7 linked regions of the Cricetulus griseus genome follow. The protein of the gene in region 5 interacts with the protein of the main gene of each other region in a pairwise test. Links are inferred from orthologs where the notes say so. Each region holds a gene or a part of one and is shown on either strand. Other genes may lie near its edges. The genes, in order: Cnksr2, Sptbn1, Golga4, Trim2, Tnik, Myt1l and Wwc1.

Region 1 (3,500 bases), on a different chromosome or scaffold from region 5:
AACTCTGTCAGGCAACAGACATGCACATGATGCTCTTACATGCATTCTGAAAAAACAAGTCTTACACATAAATTCCTCTTCTTAAAATGATAGAAAATTTTGTACTAAAAATGTACAGCTATTTTGTTTATTTGGCCTGAAATGTTCTTCCCTTTTACTTTGTTGTTGTTTATGTTCTAAAGATCAAACCCAGAGCTCAATACTTCCTGCACAAATGAGCACTCTACCACTAAACTACTTCTTCGGCCCCCAAAATTTTTTATAAAACATGTTTTACTTTGAAAGTTATTTTCTATACTCATTTTAATATAAAAATAATGTGTGTATTTTAATTTTTAGAAATTCTAAGTTTTCAAAATATTCCTTTAAACTGTGGATATGTAGAATTAATGAAATGCAAGTGGAATTATTAACTAAATGAGTAGCACATTTATTACTCTAAATATTTAAGTCATACTTACATGGTTTAATTAGCTTCAGACCTCGTTGGTATTATACATTAACAAAAATGTTGTTTGTTTAGGATGAAAAAGCAGAAGGATTCATCAGTCTGCCTGAATTTAAAATTGATAGAGCCAGTGAATGCCGCAAGAAATAGTAAGTTAAATTTTCTTGGAGAAAGGGGGAAGAAGGGATAATTTATTTTGTAATTTTCTAGATTTTAAGTTATAGTTTAGCAGAAGCTTTGAAATTAAAATTATAAGAAAGTAGTTTCAGGGATATAGCATGAAATTTTACTTAATTAATTCTGTCATGATAGAAGCATTATGTATGTGAAGTTAGGTTAGACATTGCATTAATTTTATTCATAAATATTTAGTTTGAGCCAGCAAGATGTCTCATGATTACATGCAATCCCGATGACCCAAATTCAATCCTAGAATCCATGGTTAGAGGGAACCAGTTCTTAAAAGCTTTTCTTTGGCATGTGCACATACATAAAAACACCAGTGATGATAATGTTAATAATAAATAAACAAAATAGAATACTTTTGGTTTTATTTCAAGACAAGAGTTTCACATTGTAGCTCTGGCTGTCCTGGAACTCTCTGTAGACCAAGCTGGCCTCGAATTGAACAGAGGTCTGTCTGACTCTGCCTCCTGGGTGCTGGGATAAAGGTGTGTGCCACCATACAGGTTTCAAATTATAATTTTATTAAAAATTTTTCAGGCAATATATTGATCACATTCTTTTGCCTGTCCCAATTCTAATACAAAATTTTAAAGGTATTTGAATTAAAACCTTTTTACATTTTGTAAAAAAGTAAATGTAAGCCAGGCATTGGTGCACACCTTTAATCCCAGCACTCGGGAGGCAGAGGCAGGTGGATCTCTGTGAGTTCGAGGCCAGCCTGGTCTCCAGAGCGAGTGCCAGGATAGGCTCCAAAGCTACACAGAGAAACCGTGTCTCAAAAAACCAAAAAGAAGTAAATGTAACTCATTTTTTGTGGTTATATTCACAGTGCATTCAAAGCCTGCCATCCTAAAATCAAAAGCTTTTATTTTGCTGCTGAACATCTTGATGACATGAACAGGTAAAGTATTATTTACATCTCAAATTACTTAATTAAGCATTGTCTTCAATAATTTTTAAAGACTCCCATTGTAGATTCTGTATTAATTAATGAAAATTTGAGTAGTCCAGCTATAGTTGCATATGATTATACTTCATTTTACAAAAAATTGCCTAATTCATTATTTAAATTTCACATGCACACAATACAATTCATATTTAAATAATAATAATGGATAACATTTTAGAACTTCAACTTTTGTTGACTGTCAATTCTAACACAAAAGTACGATAACAAATATAAATCCAAAATATTACCACAAAAGGGGTTGTTTTTAGATGTTAAATTTAAGGAGATTTCTTAACATGTATTTCTAAATTCTCTAAAAGGCACACAAAACCTGACTTACTCAAGTCCTAAGTATATTTGGTAGAATATACATTTCAATAATTTAGGTCTACTATCTAATGTAGTAATTCTTCTTATCACCTTCATCTGTCACTGGACAGGCTTATATAGCCAACTGGTTTGATGGCTGTGTTTATTTGGTGGCTAAAGGAAAACCTACGTATAGTTTCCTCTTTGTATCCCACATTGTTTCACGATACAATTTTAGTCATTTAAAGCTACTTTTCTTTATTTCCTTTCATTTTCCTTTTCTATTTAAAAAAATTATAGAAACTGGGCATAAAATGAAAATGTCCTCCGTTTTATAATTGCAGAAGCCAATGTATATTGTGTATAATTTCCCTACATTTAGGAAGAGGCATCAAAGACTAGTGACCAGAACTGTGACCTTTTAGACAAGACTGAATCCTAGATTACAACTCATTAGCTATGTAACCTTATGCAAGAAACTTAGCTTTTCTGTACTAAATAAATGACCCATTTATATAAATGAGAAAAATCGCCCTTAGTAGGTTTTTTTTATGCAACCTAAGTCTTCAGTAGTAATAAGCATTAGTGTTTATATACTTTTGTTCTCTTACCTCATTTACTTTTCTTTAGATGCCTTTAATGATACCTGAACATTTTAAGCACAAAATTGTGCTGCTTCATGGTTTTATCCCTAGTATTTACTTTCAATAGGCAATTTTTAAAAACACTTGAGTTTTTGTTGTTTTTTGATGAAATTATTTTTTATAAATTTTTATTTAAATTAGAAACAAGCTTCTTTTACACATCAATCTCAGTTCCCTCCTCCTCCCTTCCTCCCCTCCTCCCCTACCCCCCACTGGCCTCCTATCGCATCCCCTTTCTGCTCCCCAGGGAGGATGAGGCCTTCCATGGGGATCTTAAAAGTCTGTCATATCATTTGGAGCAGGGCCTAGGTCCTCCCCCCATGTGTCTAGGGTGAGAGAGTATCTCTCCATGGGGAATAATCTGGCTCAGTCATTAAAGGCTAGGCTCACAACCAAAAATATAAAAAAAAATGCTTGTTAATGGGATAAAATAGTCAGTGCTAAAAACATTTACATATTAGTAGTGATCTGGAACGGTACCCATGTAAAGCTTTGTTTGGTTACCTGATTATTATTATACATTAACAAGATAATGTGGGTATTGCTTTATTCCATATGTAATCTTTGAAAGCATGCCTAATTCAAGAGAGGATATATTTTTAAATGAACATAATCATAGTTAATACATGCTTTATCTGGTTATTTTATGGCTTTAAAGGGCATTATTTTTGTATTACATTATAGCACAGTACAAAATAATATATATTTGTACTCTAAATTTTTTTCAAAAGTATGTAATGCCAGTAGTAACAGGACCTAGTAATTAGGGTATAAAAGTATTCATTAAATTCAGTTTTTCCATAAAATCTGTATACACAGATATGTGCACTTTCTCTCTCTCTCTCTCTCTCTCTCTCTCTCTCTCTCTCTCTCTCTCTCTCTGTGTGTGTGTGTGTGTGTGGTGTGTGTGTGTGTGTGTGTGTGTGTGTGTGTGTGTGTCCTTTTAACTAAGATTCCTGGTAGA
Region 2 (3,500 bases), on a different chromosome or scaffold from region 5:
AATGAAACAAATGAAATGTACAGGAACACAGACAGGGTAGCTGAGGAAAGGTTCCCCACAGGTACCCTGAGACGTAAAGACATTGTTTTGCAGGGGCACATCTAGGTATATTCTCCTTGACTGGCTGGGTGTGGTAGCACACACCTATAATCCCCAAACTTGAGGTAGATGCAGGAGGATCAGGAGCTCAAGGTCACCTTCAGCTAAATAGTGAATTCCATGCCAGCCTGGGCTACATAAGATCCTAACTTCAAAAGCGGGTCGGGGTGGGGGTAGGGGGTGACAGATGGCTCAGCAGGTAAAGGCATGGGTCATATAAGCGTGATGATCTGAGTTTTAATGTCGAAACGCACACACAATGGTAGAAGGAGGGGACCAACTCTAGAGTTGTCATCTTACCCACACATGTACAGCTAAGGTATGCATGCCTCCACAACACACACCAATATTTCTTTTAAAGTTAACACTCTTTCTGTGCCAAAAGGGTGAAAAACAGGCTATCACTTTAGATAATGGTGGGGGTTTTCCATTATAATAAAACCAGTGACCCTTCTTCCTTCCTTCCCTTCCCTTCCCTTCCCTTCCCTTCCTTTTTTTGAGACAAAGTCTCTCTTCTCTATCTTTATGTAGCCCTGGCTATCCTGAAACTCACCATGTCAGCTGGCCTCAAGCTCACAGAGGTTTACCCGCCTCTGCCTCCCGAGTACTGGGACTAAATGTGTGTGCCATCACACCTGCTGACTATCTAATACTTAGATGTGTATTTTTACTATGTTGTATATAAAACACTTAACATATTAGCAGTGTCATACATTGAGACACAAACCCGACATTTTCTGGAGATAAAATTATGTGACCAAAGTCTACAGACAATAGTCCTGGATGAGCCTTTGGATGTCTGTAAGAAGTAGCTGGAAAAATGCCAGGTAAGGACCTTCCAGGGACAATGAGATGGGGACACCCAATGCTGTGAATTGGGAGAAGGTAGACTATGACCATTAATTGTACAAATGGATTTTAAGTGGTGGCAAGAACATGAAATTTCTGAAAAAATATACACAGAAGAATCAATGGGATTTGGTTTACACATCTGAAGGCACTGGGTGTAATGATTTCACTAGACCCATGATAAATGATAAATGGGTGTTTATTGGGGACACTTACACAGAAAGATATAAAGAACCATGGAAGCACTTCTCTCCCCTTCCCTCCAGATCAGCTGACCCAAGAGAAAAGATCTGTGCAAGAGAGACCACACTTTAGCTTCCCTCTTTCTGCTTTAGTCTGCCTGAAGCCACACCCAAAGGGGTGTGGCCACCATTTCAGGTTGACAGGCAAGACACTGACTGCTACACACATCTATGGTACTTTGAGAAATAGTCTCTAATACCAAACTACTTTTAAGGTATGTATTTCAGACTATCATGAGCAAGTTTGTAGGAAATGACTTGAAAATCAATTTTCCTATCATCCAAACATCCAAATCATCATTTCTTGTGTCTGTTTTTTTTTTTTTTTTTCTTATAGATTCTCAAAATAAAAGGTGGGAGAAGCTAACACAGGGAAAATTCACACAGCAATTAAGTACTCAAGACTGTTCCTGATTGACTGCTCCCTTCCCACTGCTGTACCCCTATATGGAATGGAAACAGTGGCAGGTCAAGGCAGCACAAGAGAACACAGCCAAACAGACGAGGAGCCTGTGCCAGGGCCGCCTTCTCCTTTGTACTGATTCGATAGGGGAGTGCTTGCAGGAGGGACACACATCTTTTTATGGCTCGAAATTGCTTTCTCAGTGAGATGGTAAGGTAGGTGCAATCCAGCAGGCTTAAGGGAGTTGGTTTTTGTTCTATGGGTATTAAGACTCACCATTCTCGTGAGGCAAAGCGATTTAAATAAAAACAGGAAACCACTTTCACCATCTCTTGAGCCTCCTATAGTTCTAAAGAAAATAGTTTTACAAATGCAGAGGAAAGATCTGTTTCCTGATAGTCTCTAGGTATCTCAAAAGTGCTCCTTAGCATTTGTTATATGACTGGGACAGTGTCAGATCTTACCCTAGGGCTTATGTCTTACAAGAATTGTTTCAATCCTCAAAGCATCAGGAAACTAAAGTGTAGAGGAGTAGGTTAACTCCCAGCCACAGAAAGTGGCAGAACCAAGAATCTAAATGGAGGTCAGAAGATAATGGCAGTCACGAGGATCCCTCCACAGAACAAGTCAAAGTACTGGCGCATAGTGAAGCTGATGATACTCAACTGAAACCACCAGGGCCAAGTGTGGGCCTTTATTGGTGGGGATGTGGGTTAATTATTTACTGGAACATAGCCTCTGCCCATTCATTTACCCACTGGGTTGCTTATCCTAAAACAGCAGCACAGCATCTGTATCCAATAGAGATAGCATAGCCACAAAGTCAAAACTATATACCATCTGGTCTCCTACTGACCCTGCAGTAACCCGTTTTTTTTTTTTTTTTTTTCTTAATAAGTCCTGACCAGCTCAGGATTAGAAAGTCAAACAAAACCAGCTTCTTCTCTAGAAAGCATTTTCAACTGCAAGATCTCAGACTAATCAGGAAGCTACCGAGATTAGAAGGCGATGAGAGTGATCACATTGGAGTCTCACTGCTACACTGTTCACTTTGTCAACACCTTTGAAGCACAGTTTCAGTGCTAAGCCACTTACTGCAGTGCTGGAGCTAAAAGATCAGGTGTGTTAAAACGTTAGGGTCTAGTCTCTACTAGGAAGAAGATCCAAAGAGAAAAGAAGAGATCTTGGGGATAGGGATGAGGAGAAAGTAATGAAATATATACCACAAGAAAGCAGAAGTGGGGCCATCTGAGGAAAGGAAGGGAAGTAGGGTCAGGGAACAAGGAGTGGGGCAGTGGGGAAAGGGGAATAATGGAAACAAATATAAAACACCCATTTATCAATATGACTTCAGATTTATCAATTTGTCTGCTAACCTAAAAAATTAATGAAAATAATCAATGCAGAAAAATAAACTAATATTATTCAAATAAAAAAGTATAGATTTCTTTCTTGGGATGGTTGGTGGGAAAAAAATGAGGTATTATTTTCCAAGTGATCCTGATGGTCATGTTAACTAATAGAAACTTGTATTCAGGCCTATTAACTTGCAAATGCTTACATGTGCCTCTACTAATTTAAACACCAGCATTTTCATCTAACAATATTTGCAAGCATGACAAATTCAAAACTGTACAGACTGCAAAGCTTTCCTGTGTGTGGAGTTTGTGTGTACACACGTGTTTAATCTGGGTAGTCATTTCAGATATGTTCTGAGTAGCCATGGGATACAGAGAGGCTCATGATGCACAAAGATAATCTTACAAGGAGCCTTCCTTGCACTGGGCAGCTCCACCCACCTGAGTGCCCAGAGCCTGGATATCATGCTCAAAGGTGGTGTGCATTCTCTGTAGGGTCTCCACAGTGTTCTGATCTCGTCCAAGCTCCTCAGGGAGTTTCTTGTGTTT
Region 3 (3,500 bases), on a different chromosome or scaffold from region 5:
AGCTGGGTATTAAACTCCCTCATCAGCTGCTTCAGGATGGAAGTGTGTTTCAACTCAAGATCCTCTTGCTCCTGTCTGAGTAACAAGAGTGGACAGCGGTGACAGCTGCCTCCAAAGAGCAAGTTACAAAGAGGTTTCAAAGCAGTTTGCACAATGTGCTCTCACTGTTAGGGAGGCAATTTTGAGTGTGAGTGTGTCCAGGTAGAGAAAACTAGAGATACCGAAACCCTGACTACCTCCAGTGACTGACCCTGGGGCCGGGGGAGCGGCTCTTTCCCACTTTAAACTTCTTCACTACACATGAATGTTACTGTCACAGTGTTATGCTAAAGACAGCCAACAATGAGACCATTACTCAAGACAAGGCAGCCAGCAGCTGCGATCTTACCCGCAAGACAAGGTGTGTCCCCTTAATGAACATGGAATAACACTGCCTTCTGCCCCAAATTTTCATTTCTCCTTAGCATTTAACTTACTGGATCTATGCAACGCTTTGGGAAGATACACGTGTCTCCATTACAGACTGTGTGTGCGTGCGAGCACCCACCCACCCAGGTGGGAACAGCACTCACTTGAGCTTCTCCTCCGCTTCCTGCGTGCACTCTCTCTTCAGGATGTCCAGCTCCTGCTGGTGCTCCTTTCTCAGCACACGAAGATCTTTCTGGAGCCTAGCCACCTCCCTGCTCAGCTTCTGCTTCTCCCGCTCTGCCCCTGCTAACTTTAACTCCAGGTCATTACGCTGGGTGTCCATGTTATTCCCCAATTTCGGTTGGATCACCTGCAATTTGGAATTTTCCTCAGAACTATCTTCCAAAATTTCCACAGATTTATTTTTCCCATCCATTTCTTGCTGTGAGGCTTGCGATTTCTCGTATTTTAAGGTCAACGTCTCCAATTCAAGTCTATGTGAGTCCCTCTCTCTTACTAAGTCTGACTCCAGTTCTTTTACCTTCTGTTCCAGGGTCTGGCAGGTTCGCTCCTTTTCCTGGAGGGTTTTCTGGACACTGTCAACCACACTTGCCCAGTTTTGCTTCATTCCTGTATTGTTTTTACCAGTTTCTTCTTCCATGGGCTGGGATGCAATGAAGGAACAGTTCATCTTCTTTTCTTCGAGTTCTTCTTGAAGACGTCCTATCAAAATCTGATCGTCCAGTTGTTTGGCTTGGGTGTGGTCTAACTTCATGGAGAACTGCATTTCAGACAGAGAGAACTTCGACTCACCTGTGCCCTGCTCCAACCTGTGCAGCAGCTTCTCTTTTTCAACTAATCTTCTCTGTAGTGCGAGGATCCTTTCTTCACACGCCTTGTGCGTACAGCCTTGGGAATCTGCTGCTTCTTGTTCGGAAGATGCTGCCACATTTTGTATGGATCTGGACATAATCACTGTCTCCGATTGTAGAGAACTTTCTAGGTTTTTAAGTTTTTCTTCCAGGATGTGAATTTGCTTTTCTCTGTCTTGTAATTTTGCATTCAGCTCACTCAACTGGCTTTCTGTATCTTTTTCATACTGCTGTTTTTTCTCTTCCATCTGAGACAGTAACTGCTTCCTGATGGCAGCGATTTTTTGCTCCGCCTTCCTCTTCAGCTCCACTTTTGAGGCACTTTCTAACTCGAGCTTGTCCTCTAAAGCTTTTAACTCCCCGTCTCTGCTTTTCACACTTGAACTCACATGTTCTAGCTCTTTCTTCATAATTCCAAGTTCAGTCTCCAGGGAGGACACTTGCTTTTCTAGTCTCAGGACATTTTCCTCAGCCTCCCTAACCCTGTTGTCTTTCTCCTCTCCCAGCTCTTCAAAGTGTTGAAGTTTCTGAACCAGTTCATTCCGCTCAGTGTCCTTCTCTTGGTTGGAATTCTTAAGTATTTCATTTAGGGACTCAACTTCTTTCCTCTTGTGAGCAATGCAGTCCTCTAACTCAACAACCCGAGCCGCCTGCACCTTTAACTCGGCCTCTAAGTCCCGCTCCTTCGTCTCCATCTCGTTCTTCCTGTCTGCCACCTCAGCCTTTAAACACTCCAGTCTTTCATTCTGCTGATCAAGGTCTTCCTTCAGCAGCTGTATCTGCTCACCCTTTTCAGCAGCCTCCTTGGCTTTCACGTCAAGCTGTGTCTGCAAGTCTTTAATAGTGCTCTGGTACTGTGCGAATCTGGGCTGGGCTTTTTTCTTCCACTCGGAGAACTTGTTGGACCAATGATCTACCTGCTCAAGAGCAGACATTTTCTCCTTACTCAGAGTGTCGACTTTCAGAGACAGCTCTTGCAGCTGACCCTGCAGCTCCATTTGTCGCTCCTCATGCTGCTTGCTCAGTGACGACATGGCTGCTGCTTTGTCACTTAGGCTGACGCTGTTCTCCAGCTGAGCACTGAGATCACTGAGCTGTGTGCGAAGGCTGTCAATCTCAGCCGTCTTCTCCGAAAGCTCTCCTCTCAGTAGTGTAACAGCATTGATGTTCTCTGATAACTCTTTCTTCAACTGTGTGATGCAAGACTCCTTTTCAGAGGCCGCCTGCTGCTGCTGGCCTCCTTCCTTCTGCAAGGCTTCCTTTTCTGTGACGAGACCCTCGATATCAGCCTTCATGGCCTTAATCTGGTTTTCTTTTTCTTCCAGCTGATGGGTGACCTGTTGAACAGAGCTCTTGAGTGTGTGTTGCTCTTCTGTCAGCTGTTTAAGCTGTGCTTCTAATTCAGAGACCTGGCCTGTTTTCATGAGCAGTGCCTCCCTAACTGTGGCGGTGTGCTGCCGGCAGCGCGAAAGCCTAGAGAGAATGGCATCTGTTTTGTCACCGCTGACGCTGAGCAGTTCATTTGTTTTAGCTTCTAACAAAGCTTTGGTTTTCTCACAGCGACTGTCTAACTGAGATGCGAGTTCCCCAAGCAGGGTTTTGAGGGTCAAGCTTTTGTCCTCTAGGCTCTTCCTACTGCTGTCCTGAGCAGCCCTGCAGCTGCGGAGCTCCTCCTCTGCAGCCTGCACCTTGCTCAGAAGCTCAGAGACCCTGAGCCTCCCCCTCTCACTCAGCACTTTCAGGTCCGCCAGCTCCTTCTCCAGAGAAGCCTTCTCCTTCAGAGAACAACCCAGATCCATCTCCAGCTTTTCAACTTGTGATTGCAACTGCGCCTCCTTCTGAGAAAGTGAGCCGATGTGGGCAGACTTCTGCTCTAGCTGTTCCTGCAGACGTGTGAGCACCGCACCCTGCTTAGCAGCCGCCTCCTTCAGCCCCACAGCTGCCTTGCTCACCTCCTCTTTTTCAGACTCCAGTGTGAGCAGCTTCTGCTTCAGCTCTGTCAGCTCTTGTTCCTTCTCCTCTACGCGCCGCTCATGCTGGTCCCGCAATTCTTCAGCCTGATGACTGAGTCTCTTTTCCCAGCACTCTGTGACGTCATCAAGTTTTCGCTGGTGAGCTTTGGTCAGGCTTTCAATCTGCTGCTTTTGGTTGGCCTCCAGTCTTGACACGGTGTCGCTGATCCCCGCTGAGTTGGCCTGTGCCATTTCCAGGATTTGGGCA
Region 4 (3,500 bases), about 50 Mb from region 5:
GCATCAGCATCGTGCTGGAAAATGGCAACACTCAAAACTGCTGTAGGGCTCACTCCACCAGGACGGCTTCAGACTGCAGCAGCAAGGTTATGTGCTGAAGGAGGCTGGGCAATGCTGCTGTCTTTCAGAGTGCTTCCTATTTCCACACACCATGGATTCAGCTATATATATATATATATATAAAATGTATAATACATTCTATCTTACCCTAACCATGTATACGTGTCCCTTAATGCCTCTACTATTCATTAGACAATGATAAATAACCATAACATGCCCGTACCTGTAATGCTCAACAGAACTTTGGTAACACTTGTTCTCTAAGGGGAAGTCATTAATCAATCACATGCCTTTGGTTGACACCATCTGTCCTCCAAAGGGCTGCTTATGGCTCTCTGTCCTAGGACACTGGTGTCTGACTACATGTGCTGACATTTTACAGGAGGTAAAGCTTTCGCTTTCATGATGTGGAAGAGGAAAGACATGTGAACACATGGCATGAACATGACTTCTTTTGGTTACATCCCAGTGTGTTGATCTGAAGCTAACAACCAAGAGGTCCCCCTTGCTTTTGCCATATGCCTTTCAAAGCATCGGGAATTCAGGTTTTCCTGAAGCTATATTTCATTTTCTGATGCAAGGTGAGTAGAAAGAGAAGGTGAAGAGAACACACGAAAAAGATCTTTGATCGAACCCAGAAAGGTTGGGAAATTTGCATTGATTCTGATGGGCTCAACTCAAGAGGGCCCTGAGTCAGAGCTGGGAGGATCTTGCAAGACAGCCTTAGATTTTTCTAAAGTAATTTATATATGGTTGTTGATAACCACCCCCCAAAAAGTCACCAGTAATAACATCTACTGTAAAAGTGAGGTTAGAAGGTCCCTTGGGTCTTGTGACCAAAGTTAAATAAAATAGGTAACTACAAGTTTTGTTCTTGGAAGCTCGATGCAAAGGCTACCATTCATTCACCGGTCAACAGATATGCTAATTCTTTTAATGTCTGATTTGCAAAATTAGTTTAACTGCATAAATCCCTGTCCTATAAGCCATAGTTCACAGGTGTAAAACTTCGAAGCTTGTATAGATTCAATAGAAGAGGTTCTCTTTAAATCCTAAAAGTGAATTACGGAATTGGATAAGCAGTTTTTAAGGAAATCGTTACATTCAGAAATAACCTTGGAAAGTTCACCAAAGGTTCTTCCTAGTATGAAAAGTCCTATTGTAATCTGGTCCCACATTGAAAACTCCGTTCCAGTTTCTAGTGCAAGACCTCAGTGCAGGGGTGTCCGCTGTTACTGTAAGTACCGATAGACCTTGAAACAGTGGTTTCCAGAGTCTGCAACCACAACATGGCCATCTGAAGTTAGGGCCAGGCCTTGGGGGCCATAAAGAGGGTCAGCCGATGTGTTGATATAGGACAAAAATGAGCCACTCCCATCGAAGACCTGCACAGACATAAAATCAGAGCATCATCAAAGTTACATATGCTGACGGACATGAATTTTAAAAAGTATGTAAAGAGCCCTCTGGGTGCTGGACCGTGGTGGAGTAAGCCTTTAATCCCAGCACTCGGGAGGCAGAGGCAAGTGGATCTCTGTGAGTTCAGGGCCAGTCTGGTCTACAAAGTGAATTCCAGAACAGCCAGGGCTGTTACACAGAGAAACCCTGTCTCAATAAATAAATAAATAAATAAATAAATAAATAAATAAATAAATAAATAAATAAATAAACTTTCTAGGTTTGTGCAGGCCCCTGTACACACATGATTCATGATTAATTTGATGATTAACCTTGGTTGTTGATTTGGTTGGATCCGGAAACAGCTATGACATAGCTTCTAGGAACATCCGTAAGTATATTTCCTGAAAAGATTAGCTGAGGGGAGGGGGTGTAATTCTTGCTCAGCATGGGCAGCACCTCCTGGTGGTGGTGCAGGCATAAGGAGGTCTGAGAGAGAAGTTATTGCTTTTGGTCCACTGCCTTCAGTCGTGGCTGGTAAATGCATCCACCTTGTTGTTGCTACTGCCACTACCTTTGCTCACAGGAACCCAGCTTCTTCTTCTTCTTCTTCTTCTTCTTCTTCTTCTTCTTCTTCTTCTTCTTCTTCTTCTTCTTCTCCTTCTCCTTCTTCTTCTTCTTCTTCTTCTTCTTCTTCTTCTTCTTCTTCTTCTTCTTCTTCTTCCTCTTCCTCTTCTTCTTCTTCTTCTTCTTCTTCCTGGAACTTGCTCTGTAGATCAGGCTGGCCTCAAACTCAAGAGATCCTCCTGCCTCTGCTTCTCAAGTGCTGGGATTAAAGGCCTGTACCACCACTGCCCGGCTGGAACCCAGATTCTTTAGCTTTTCAACACAGGCTGAAGAAGACCCAAAGCTCTCTTAGAATCCTCTAGGCCAGTGGTTCTCAACCTTCCTAATGCTGCAACCCTTTACTACAGATCCTCATGTTGCGGTGACCCTCAACCATAAAATGATTTCATTGCTACTTCATAACTGTAATTTTGCTACTGTTATGAGTCATGATGTAAATATCTGATATGCAGGATATTTGATATATGTCTCCCCCTAAGGGGTCTCAACCCATAGATTGAGAACCACTGCTCTAGGGCCTAGAGTCTACGCCAGATTGGGACCACCGAGGCAGCAGCCTAGTAGACTGAGAAGGCTACCAGTTTCTTGGTCTCTCCAACATATAGACGACTATGGCTGGACTCATCCATCTGAGGCATGTAAGCCAATGTAGTAACTCCCTTTGTGACGTGCATTCAATCCATCTGCTGTGTCCTATTGAGGACCCAAACACACAACTCTGTCTCCACTTACACTTGCTTTCTCCCCTGCTCCCTCCATGACTGGAGGCACTGATGTAGAACTTGTTGGTTGTACATCTTATATTACAATGGCTGTCACATGTGCACTGACAAATTGAGATTTCATTTTTCCTTGTTGGAGTCTATAGTTCAATGTGCCTATCTGGATAGGCAACAGCTTAAAGTTGCCTAACTATAAAAGTTTATCTGATTTTGTTGTGATGAAATAATAGGTACAAATCAACTCATAACATTTCCTCTTTTACAAATGCCCAGGTTGGTTTCTTTGGACCATTTTGCTTGGCCCACTTGGCATTTTAAGAAGCAATGTAAGTAGGTAGATATCATGGGACCACAAAATACAAACAGCATCTGTGGGCCTTTGTAACTTGTCCAGCTCCTGGCTTCTAAAATATTGGACTCTCTTACCCACTACAATGAGGCCACTGGTAGAGATCTCTTTTGAGACAGGGTCTCATGTAGTCCAGGCTAGCCCCAAACTTGCTATGTATTCAAGGATGACCCTAAGCTGCTGACCTTTCTGGCTCCATCTCCCGTGTGCTGAGACTACAAGTCAATGCCACCACGATCAGCTTACTCAGTAGAGGGGATTGAACTCAGGGCCTCGTGCACACCAGACAAGCACTCTACCAACTGAGCTATATACATCTCTATTCCTGAATGTCTCTTTTAATA
Region 5 (4,092 bases):
TAGCCCTGGGAGGCAAACGTACCTGCACGCCTCACCCACCACAAGACTGCCTGAAGCTCCAAGGCCTGCTGAGTACAACTGTCTGCCCATCTGCAGAAGTCTTTCAGCCATCAGCTCCCAGGCACAGGGAGTAGCTGTTGTCCTAGCTCTTTGCATACCCCAGTGAAGGCAGAGGATCCTTTGAGCTTCCCAGGTGACAAAGAGCAATCCTAGTGAATCATGCAAAGATACCTGTTCCAAATACAGATTACAGGACACAGGTCTCCCTGAATGAGAATCTAGTAGCCCTGAGGACAGGTTCTGTGCGCTAGGCATCTCAGAAAATCTGGCCCACAGGAGCCATACACCCGCCCCCCAACTTAAAAATCATGTCAGGGAGAATGATGCTAAGATTCTGTCTCAGCTAAATCACAAGCCTGGCTCATTGTTCAGGCAGCTACCACTTGGCCACTCCTCCTTCCCCAAGTCTGGGCCACTGGTCCAGGCAGAAGTGGAGCAAAAGAGAGCACAGTGATAAGAGAGTCACACATGCACTGGCCCAAAGCACCCACTCTGAGCCCCACCCCCACACTCAGTTGCCCCCTGGTTGCGGATGTGGCCTTTGGGCACTAGAGGAACGGACAGCCTACTGTAATCATGCATGAATGAGCTTTTGCTGCTCCACTATCACTGCAGCCCGCAGCCGGTTTCAAAGGGCAGTCAGTCAGTCCTCAGCCTGCCTCTCTGAATCCTCCACCTTTCTGGACCAAAAGATAAGGAAAGGGCCAAGGATTCAAGGTGTGGGCGGAAAAGTGGCTCTGAGCCTAAGGAAAAAGTATCACTTCAATCAGACAGGTAGCTACCTTTTAAAAATGTCTGTAGAGAAAGAGGTAACTGCAGGAAAAGCTTCCGAGACACAGGTAAATGGCCTCGAGATTAAGCATCATCAATCTAACAATGTGTTCAGGAAGATCACTCAACTTCCACCTATACTGACAGTCGGTGACATGAGCCACCATCCCTTCAGTCTCACCTACCCTACTGGCAACAAGCATATGCATTTGCTCTTTATTTTATTTTTAGTTCAGGAGAGGAAGAAACTAGTCGTACTGAGATTGGTGTCCAATCTTTCTCAGATCCCTGCTGCTGCCACCATCACCACCCCTCCTTACCCCCTTCCTGGCAGGCAGCATCTAATTAAAATGGCAAGAACGCTGGGCTCCCTTCCCCGAAGGAGTGTGCTGGGATTAGGGGTGGGGGTGGGGAAGCGTCGAAGCTGCAATGGGGTTCCTGGCAGTATGATCTCCAAACAACAGCAAAATGGATTCTAGATCACTAAAGTCTTATTCAATACAATGGAACGACGTCTGAGGTGTCTCGGAAGAAGGTAAAGGCAAAGCGGCAGAGTTGGGGGAAGGGAAGGTGTTCTACAAAGGACTGGTCACAGACCCGGGAACCACACACACACACACACACACACACACACACACACACACACACACACACACACACGCACACACAGTCTCTCCAGGGAGTTCCGGTGTGGTAGGGAGAAGCTGCTAAAGCGTCCCTTTCACCTGCTGAAGTTCAGCCATAAAACTGAAAGGTCACAGTCACCGAGTTAGAAAGGCATAGGCAGGGCTGAGTTCAAACCGCAGATAAAGGTGAGTGCACCCTGGCGTCGAGGGAAGCGCTGAGCCTGAGCCCCCGCACCAGAGGCAGAACCCGGGAGGGGTCAGTTGCCATCTACTAGACCAGCCCGGAACAGCAATTACTGCCCCCTTGGAGCGACAGGGTCGGCTGGTGGAGACAGCTAGACTCACGATGGCATCTTGCAGGTAGCTGGCAAACCTGAGAGGCCAGTGCCTTTATTCTTGAGGAAATTCTTTTTGCAGCAAAGAGCAGTCGGGTCTCGAGCCTTGGCAAGAGACAGTTGCTCGGGTACACACACACACACACACACACACACACACACACACACACACACACACACACACACACACACACACACACACACACACTCCTTCCATGTAATTCTCTTACACCAATCGAAGATGAAACTGACATAAGCTCCACCGGCTTCCCTGCGGAGCCTCGGGAAGCACAGTCGAGGAGCACAAGGGCAGCCCAGCCCCTGCTGTAGGGTAGGGGCTCAGCCTAGAACCCCATCCGCTGCCCTGGAATCAGGATAGGAAGACCGGGAACGTTCCCTCGCCCAGCCCCAGACCATTGAAAAGAAAGGGGGGAAAACAAACAAACATACACACACACACACACACACACACACACAAAAAAAAAAAAAAAAAAAAAAAAAAAAAAAAAAAAAAAAAAAAAAAAAAAACCACGTTCTGCTCACCCTCAGGGCGGAGAGATCGATTTCATCCAGGCTGCGAGCTGGGGAGTCGCTCGCCATGTCGACTCTTCGCGGGAGAAATGGACCAAAACCAGCCAGAAACGTCTGCCTTGGCAATTCCACCCTGGTCTATGTCGCTCGCGTCCTCATGCGGCTGTCCGCCAGAGAGGCCCGGGGCCCAGCCTCCCCCGCCCACCCGGGCCCCAACCAGAGTGAGATCCCGATCTTCCGAGAGTGTCGATCCGCGGGATCCCGGAGCCCGACCTGCGCGGATCTCCAAGCCCGGAGCCGCGGTGCGTGTGGGCTGCGCGCCCTGATCGGCTAAGGGCGCTGGGGCTGCGTGGGTGTATTTAAATGGGACATGCTTCTTTGCTTGTGCGTGGATGGCGGCTGCATTGGCTGTTATAATGAGACATATCAACTCCTCCACTCAGCTGGGGGGGTGGGGGTGGAGAACCACACAGAACTGTCTATCACCGCTTCCTGGGAGGAGTGGGGGGGAGGAGGCGTGGTCTCCGACTGGGGAGAGGCCGCGCTTCCTGACCGGGTCCCTCTGCACTAGCCTGGGTGGGGGAGGGGCGCGCACCCTTTCCGTCCCAGTTTTTGCGGGTTAATAGTGCTGAATCGAAGAGCAGATCTTGAACCTCGCTGTACAGAGATCCGAAGGCTATTTTTTAATGTGTCCAATTTGTGCAATGCACCAAAATGGCCCTTCGATCGCATCTTGGGGTTTCTTGACTGGATTCAGATGCTCTAATAGTGTAAAGGGTGGTGAGGAAAGGCAGCGGGAAAAGACAGCAGCGTCCAGCCTCCTCCATTAATTATTTGTGGGGCTGGAGTAAAGGCGGGCCGGTGCAACCGGTGCATATAAGGACTTGTGCGCAGGAAAGGGGATCCGCCTCCCCGCACAGAGCGGGTTGGGGAGAAGCTTACACGCGCGGAGCGCGCAGCCTGGCTTTGGCGCTGGGCAGTGGCCGCCTGGTCTCGGTCCTTCGCGGTCCCTGAGTTTCAGGAAGGCAGGTCCGTTTCATCCGTAGTTTTCTCAGCTGGGTGGGTTGGCCAGAAGGTGGAAAGCCTGGAGATGTGAGCTCCGTCTCGACATCGCCACACCCAAGACCTGCGCGTACCGCAATTCCCCATGGAAATGACCGAATTGAAAAGCAAAGCTTGCTCCTTGGGTGCAGTAGCTGGAAGGCTTCAGGTGACTCCCAGAACGACATTAATTGGGCGACACTCCGCCGCCAAAGCCAGCGTTTCCTTCTCTGCTGCTTTTCCCTGGTGACCTACCAGGATTGATGGGGAAAGTTTAGCTCAGAGAGAGGAAGAGCTGACATGTTAGCAATTTGACTTCACCTGCTTTTTAACTCAAACGCTGGGTGTTTGCAGTGGTAACAGGACTTTCTGTTATCAAAAATGTGAAATCACTTCCCCAGCCCCCACAGACCTTCCTCTCTCCTGGTTTGGCCACGCAAAATACGTTTGAAGAAGACATTAATACTGAACTCTCTCCATTCCCTTCATCAATAGCTCCTAGGGTGTTCCTTTCACATCTAAGACAAGAGAACAAGTGCATTGCATTGCGGGTTTGGGTTTTTACTTTGCTTTTTGTTTTGCTTTCTTTGGGGGTGGGGGAAGGACCTCATGTACTTTAGCGTGGCTTCTAATTCACTGTGGAGCTAAGGGTGGCCTTGAACTCATCCTCCTGCAAACACTTCCCAAGTGCTTGGATTACAAGTGTACACCAACACCTGGGCTGCTGC
Region 6 (3,500 bases), on a different chromosome or scaffold from region 5:
ATGTCAAGCTGCACCTTTTTTTTTTTTGGCTTTGTGTACCCTGAAGTTGAGATATCATAAAGGCCATGGGTGATGGTTGTGTTAATGTCCCAGACACAAGCTAGAGTTAGAGGTGACAAAGACACCTGTCCACTGTTCTGAGGTACAGGGCTGTAGGGCTGGCAGCGAGTCAACTCATAGCCAGCTCCCTCGTGACACAGCTGAGGTCCTGGGCATACCCGGGCGGTGCACAGGTCCTGGGGCTTGGTGGACAGGTTCTGTGGCATTTCACGGCAACGTGTGGACAGGTTGAGGATGGCTGTGGCTGCCATGTGTGCGGCCTCCATGTCATGTGTGTAGTCAAAGCTGCTCTTGCTACACGTGCTACTGGCGCTGCTGCCACCACCGCAGCTGAGGTTGCTGCTGCTGCTGGGCGCATAACTGCTGGTGGTGCTGCTGCTGGGGCTGGCATTCTTGCAGTACCGCTTGGCTGGAGAGACAGAGGACAGTGTGGTTAGGCCCTGCACTCAGGATGCTGCACACACAAACTGGTCCCAACCCACCCATCTTTACACACACAGAAATGGGGGTTATTCATTCTTCCCAGTCTACACTGTTCATGCTTGAATGAACAGAGTATTGGGGGTGACCCTGTGAGAGGATCAGCCCTGCTTTGACTGATCATGACTGCTGCACCATCTACATATTTGGGTAAACAGGACTTGGCTACTATACATGACTGATCCATTAAGAGTCTGACCACTCTTTCTAGCCATATGTGTAGTTGGCCCAGATTCTCAGGATACCCAAGAATCATCACTAAGGCTGTGGGGACTATGGGCTTTGTGAGAAAGTTTCTGGTATGGCATGTGTACCAGATATTGTGAGCCAAACACTTCTATCCTGTAATTGTTACACAGGCTTCTAGAGTTAAAGGGAAGAGTGAGCTTGGCATATACCTAAGGACAACTATCTGTCCCTGGCAAATGTGGGACACCAGAGGGCAGCTGGGTCAGCTCTTCATCTGCCTGCAGGGGGTCTTTCCTTGCAGATCCTTTGATCAGCTTCCTTTTATGCCAGCACCTTCAAAAGCAGCCACCAAGTACTTGGGAGTGAGGGTTAATTTTCAGAGCTGCTTAACATGTCTCTCCTTCAAGGTTGATTCATTAGGATGGGTTCTTTTCACTAACACAGAAGCACTTCTAGTTGAGTGCACAGGATATTCATTTTCACCAAGACTAGATATTCAACATAGAGATACCATGTTTACCCTCCTCAGAGTGATGAAATACATAAAGGGAACTGTTAAGGGGGCAGAGAATGGCACTAGGGGTCAGGCATGTACATGGACCAGCTTGGCTAGGCTAGTGCAATGCTTAGGGCTTTCCCCCACAGGCAATAGCTACCTTAGTCACTCTTGTAGTAACCTGTACCTGTGAGAAGCCTTGTGGATGGCTACTGCTCTCTGGGATTGAGGCCTTGGGGTCATTAGCTGCTCTGTACCTAGAGCTTGATCTTGACAATTGTCCTCCAAAAAGGACAAAAATACACAAAATGAACCATAAACCTTCTAAAAAGAGTTAACACAGGCTTTGTAGGTCATACTATAACATCTCCAAACACAAATGAACAACCATAGTGAAATAATCCTATCTGGTAATGTGAGTCTCGATTAAATGTTGCCTGCTAAAGACTCGGGGGAGGTATGGTAATGGGAAAACATTTTAATAAAACTGAGGTTACTTCAGTTGAGGCCATGATGACCAGATCCTGGGGTAAGAGTGACCACCCCATTCTAATGTCACCCAGGACACTAGGAAACAAATTGCATAAGCGACTGTTTCATCCAGATTCCTTCCAAGGGACCACAGTCAGTTTCCAATAAAGCTCATGGAGGGCCATCAGCCACTTGGACACACTGTTAATTCTGCAGGGCTAGTGAGTCAATCAGCCTCAGAGAAGCACAGGGGCAACTCCTGCACTGGGTAGGATGAGGGTTCAGTGGCTACCTATTCATTCTCTGCTCTCTCTTTTGTAAGTTCCATTAGTATGACTGTAGAACTATGTGTGTGAGAATAGTGGATTTAGACCAAGCACAGCTTACACCAGGGTGCCTGAGTGACTGAACAAAGAACTGTACAGGGGCACCAGGCAGAGGCCTACACATGGGCAATGAGGGTTACACTTGCCATGCTTTGAAATGTGAATGTCAACTCAATGATTCTGCATCATCAAAATATTTGATAAAAAAACAAGACATGAAAATACTACAAAAATTCAATACCACATATGAAGGTGCCTTTGGGATAAGGCTAACCACATAGCTCAGGCTGGTCTAGACCTGAAGAACCTACTGCATCTACCCAACAAATCAAATGCTGGTGTTATAGGCATTTACTACCACTTTCCAAGAGGGTTTTATTTTGTTTTCTTTTTAAATGGGGAAGGCTAGTCACCCGTCCAGGAAAAAACCAACATGGTATCTTCTTGTTTCATTTTTGAGACAGGGTCTCACTATGTAAGGCTATGTCAGAGCAAGAGGATGGCATTCCCATTCAGTTCTGTGGGCACAGAGCTAAGGGACAGCAGGCAGTTGGCCTGCAGCATCCTGTCCCGTGGTAATTGCTTCCCAGGCCAAATATGGCAGATTCTCTAACTTCCCACCTCCCTGTGGACTGACGCTGCTGCAGATCCATCTCTCAGATACAGACACTGAGGCTGTTCAGGGCTGTTCAGGGCCACAGCAGACAGAGAAGCACCCGGGCTGTAGTCCAGGAGCCTTGTGTCCTGTACTGCCCCAGCATTTCATGTGCCCAAAACACTACATCTGTGGGCCACATTTTACTAAAATAAATCTTAAAAATGATTGCATTTCTCTCATCTTACTTTGATCACTTTCTTTTATCTTGAAGTTGTAAGTGTAAATATGTTGGTGCCTATACTTTTCTAGGGGTTTAAGTCATGGAGATGATGCCTGCATTCTGACAATTTGGCAGTGCAGAAGTTTAGAGGTGACTGAACTATTGGTAAATCCTCTATGCACTTGCCCATTCCCATCAGGCATACAACCAGGGTGATATTCACATCTGTACTGCTCCTTTTACTGGGTCTAATAATTTTTGTTTTATGCAAAATGAAATTAACAGTACCTGTACTTTAAGTAATTCAAGAAAGCAATGTCTTTCATCCTGCTAACACTGCTGATATCCACAGAACTGTCAGTCTGAGTCACTAAGGCCACACTCAGCAAGGCATTCATTCATGGTGCTGAGGCCCGAAGTACTGCATAGTGAGGGCATCTACTTGGATGCTCCTGTCACTGTCCTCCCCCATGTCTGACCAGAATAACAGTGGCATAATGCATTTAATTTTTCTTAGCAAAAAAAGTTCTATTTCATATGAAACTGTGTATCCTTGGTGCCAACAGATGATGGGAAATGAGAATGTGAAGGCTTCTACCCTAGAGGCCACCGGTGGTTGATAGCCAGGCAGCCACATTGAGTGCCACATGTGCTTACATT
Region 7 (2,253 bases), on a different chromosome or scaffold from region 5:
GTACATCCTCCTCTTTGTAATATTGTACAAAATACGTTACCTAGGGCAGGTTAGCTGTGCTGTGCCGTCTGCAGCACTTCTTTTTGAGGGTTATCGTTCCCCAAACATGACTTTTTTTATTGCAGGGAAATCTCTAAAAGTTGTTGCTGTACAAAAAGAAAACTCTAGACAATTTGAAGACTAGCAGCCACTTAACACTGCTTTAGTTCATTTAAATTTTCTTTCCCAAAAATACATTCCTAAATATACAAACTATACAATCTTGTCATTTTAATGCTGGTTTTTTTGTTTGTTTGTTTGTTTGGTTTGTTGTTGTTGTTGTTATGTCATTGTTTAAATATAACAAGAAAACCTGAACTAAAAAGTCTGTCATCTTCAAACCAACAAGAGCGCTTGGGGACTTGTGACTTGGTACCTTCATATAATGCCTCATAAATAACTTTAGCCACAGTCAACCTTCACAGCATGGTCCGTGAAACAAAAAAATACTTTTCTGGTGGTTAGACGTCATCTGCAGAGAGAGCTGGAATGTTCATCCGAGGCCGGGTGAAAAATGCCATCTTCTCCCTGTGATAGAGAACAGGTGTCTCAAGGTCACTCGGAAGTCTTTCTGTTTTGGGTCTGAAACTCAGGGCATCATGTATGCCAAGCCACAATCTGCCACTGAGCTACGTCCCAATCCCTGGGCTGGGTCATTCTTTGCAATATACTGTAGGATATTTAGTGACAGCTCTGGCTGCTACTAAATGCTATTAGCATGTCTGAACTCTGGTTATAAAATCTGAAACCTGTAGACTCTGAGCATAGTGGTACAGGTCTCTGGTCCCAGAAACAAAAGAGGCCGATAGAGAAACATATCTCGAGTCCATGTTTCTGAAGTCTTAGAAACATAGACCCACCTTTAAAAAAAAATAAAGTATCAATGTTGCCAGATGTCCCTTGCAGTGACACAAGAGACAAAATCATGCCTGGTTAAGGACCCATTAGATCTTTTGATCAACACAGGAAACACAACACACACACACACACACACACACACACACACACACACACACACACACACACACACACACACGGTCTCATGAAACCCTAGGTTGGCCTTGAACTCACAATGTGGTGGATGGAGGGTGACTAAATCCCTTTATTTTGGGAGGCCCAGGCCAAATGGCACTTGTGACCCTCCTCTGATATGTGTAGGCCCAGCAGGGCAAAGATAAAGCTGTGATCCTATCAGGCAGGCAGGCAAAGCCAGGAAATTAGGTGAGTATCCATAGCACCCTCCCCCGCATCACAAGCCAGGCCTCTGCAATTACCAGTACCAGAAGGCTAAGAGGAAAGGATGAAGCAGGTGGCTCATTCATTAAACAACAGGATCTCACAAATTGGGCTGAGTTGTGCAGGGACAGATAACAGCACACAGTGCTCACAGCGTTATGGGAGCCTGGCAGAGAATGAACAGCTGTTCCAGTGCAGGCTACAGCTCCGCTAGCAACAGAGGCAATGCCCAGGAACACGGTCTGGGAACAGTGAGGCCAGTAAAGATGGGCTGACTGGGTAGCAGAAGGCATCAGTCTGGGATCACCGACTCACCTGAAAGACTGCACTTCTGGAGGCTCCTTACAGCTCCGGCCTCGAAGCCTGTGCACATCCTTGGCAGCTGCCCTCATCATCTTATCTGTTTGCAGCTCACCCTTATGTTCTGCACGATCGACCTGTGAGGCAAAGCAAACAAGGGTTTGACATGGGAGAGAGTCCTCTGCTCTGTAGTGCTTGCTCTCAGCAGTGTAAATTGTACCATGGGATCTGCTTTATGCAGAAGGATAACAGGCTGTGCTCACATCATCTACCTATGAGGCCTGAGCACGGGGCCAGGGAACAGAAGTCCTATGTGTGCCTGTAGGAAATGAGATGAAATGCCCGGGGAGGTGTACATCCTTACCTGATGGGGAATGTACTGTGTATGTTTATTTTATTGATTGTTAAATAAAATACTGTTTGACCAATGAGACAGCTAGTTAGACGGGACTAGGAGTCAAAGAGGATTCTGGAAAATGTAGTAGAGAAGTGGTGATCCAAGCAGGAAGTGACATAGCAAGGAGACTCATATTTAAGCGAAGGAGAAACAGGAAGGGTCCCTTTTTCCCCTTGCTCCTCCTCCAGCAGCACAATGTGATCCACTGGCAAGGAGGGATGCCAATAAGGCGTCTGATAAGTCTTATAAAATATATAGATTTATGATAATTAAGACTGAGC

The links.
Region 1: the proteins of Tnik (region 5) and Cnksr2 interact in a two-hybrid assay, tested with the Homo sapiens proteins (2 studies listed by BioGRID and IntAct). The link is inferred for Cricetulus griseus from reciprocal best matches to the Homo sapiens genes TNIK and CNKSR2.
Region 2: the proteins of Tnik (region 5) and Sptbn1 interact in a two-hybrid assay, tested with the Homo sapiens proteins (2 studies listed by BioGRID and IntAct). The link is inferred for Cricetulus griseus from reciprocal best matches to the Homo sapiens genes TNIK and SPTBN1.
Region 3: the proteins of Tnik (region 5) and Golga4 interact in a two-hybrid assay, tested with the Homo sapiens proteins (2 studies listed by BioGRID and IntAct). The link is inferred for Cricetulus griseus from reciprocal best matches to the Homo sapiens genes TNIK and GOLGA4.
Region 4: the proteins of Tnik (region 5) and Trim2 interact in a two-hybrid assay, tested with the Homo sapiens proteins (2 studies listed by BioGRID and IntAct). The link is inferred for Cricetulus griseus from reciprocal best matches to the Homo sapiens genes TNIK and TRIM2.
Region 6: the proteins of Tnik (region 5) and Myt1l interact in a two-hybrid assay, tested with the Homo sapiens proteins (2 studies listed by IntAct). The link is inferred for Cricetulus griseus from reciprocal best matches to the Homo sapiens genes TNIK and MYT1L.
Region 7: the proteins of Tnik (region 5) and Wwc1 interact in a two-hybrid assay, tested with the Homo sapiens proteins (2 studies listed by BioGRID and IntAct). The link is inferred for Cricetulus griseus from reciprocal best matches to the Homo sapiens genes TNIK and WWC1.

Annotation. Positions count from the first base shown.
Region 1 is NC_048604.1:93,005,677-93,009,176, reverse strand, and holds part of Cnksr2 (connector enhancer of kinase suppressor of ras 2), read left to right. Parts: intron 1-523; coding exon 524-597; intron 598-1,463; coding exon 1,464-1,535; intron 1,536-3,500.
Region 2 is NW_023276807.1:77,212,564-77,216,063, reverse strand, and holds part of Sptbn1 (spectrin beta chain, non-erythrocytic 1), read right to left. Parts: coding exon 3,393-3,500; intron 1-3,392. UniProt on the Homo sapiens protein: Fodrin, which seems to be involved in secretion, interacts with calmodulin in a calcium-dependent manner and is thus candidate for the calcium-dependent movement of the cytoskeleton at the membrane.
Region 3 is NC_048597.1:225,626,509-225,630,008, reverse strand, and holds part of Golga4 (golgin subfamily A member 4), read right to left. Parts: coding exon 573-3,500; intron 76-572; coding exon 1-75. UniProt on the Homo sapiens protein: Involved in vesicular trafficking at the Golgi apparatus level. May play a role in delivery of transport vesicles containing GPI-linked proteins from the trans-Golgi network through its interaction with MACF1. Involved in endosome-to-Golgi trafficking.
Region 4 is NW_023276806.1:70,244,562-70,248,061, reverse strand, and holds part of Trim2 (tripartite motif-containing protein 2), read right to left. Parts: intron 1,446-3,500; coding exon 1,293-1,445; 3' UTR 1-1,292. UniProt on the Homo sapiens protein: UBE2D1-dependent E3 ubiquitin-protein ligase that mediates the ubiquitination of NEFL and of phosphorylated BCL2L11. Plays a neuroprotective function. May play a role in neuronal rapid ischemic tolerance.
Region 5 is NW_023276806.1:120,727,922-120,732,013, forward strand, and holds the start of Tnik (TRAF2 and NCK-interacting protein kinase), read right to left. Parts: upstream 2,801-4,092; 5' UTR 2,393-2,800; coding exon 2,336-2,392; intron 1-2,335. UniProt on the Homo sapiens protein: Serine/threonine kinase that acts as an essential activator of the Wnt signaling pathway. Recruited to promoters of Wnt target genes and required to activate their expression. May act by phosphorylating TCF4/TCF7L2.
Region 6 is NC_048600.1:31,917,859-31,921,358, reverse strand, and holds part of Myt1l (myelin transcription factor 1-like protein), read right to left. Parts: intron 470-3,500; coding exon 219-469; intron 1-218. UniProt on the Homo sapiens protein: Transcription factor that plays a key role in neuronal differentiation by specifically repressing expression of non-neuronal genes during neuron differentiation.
Region 7 is NC_048600.1:50,876,423-50,878,675, forward strand, and holds the end of Wwc1 (protein KIBRA), read right to left. Parts: intron 1,713-2,253; coding exon 1,591-1,712; intron 568-1,590; coding exon 501-567; downstream 1-500. UniProt on the Homo sapiens protein: Regulator of the Hippo signaling pathway, also known as the Salvador-Warts-Hippo (SWH) pathway.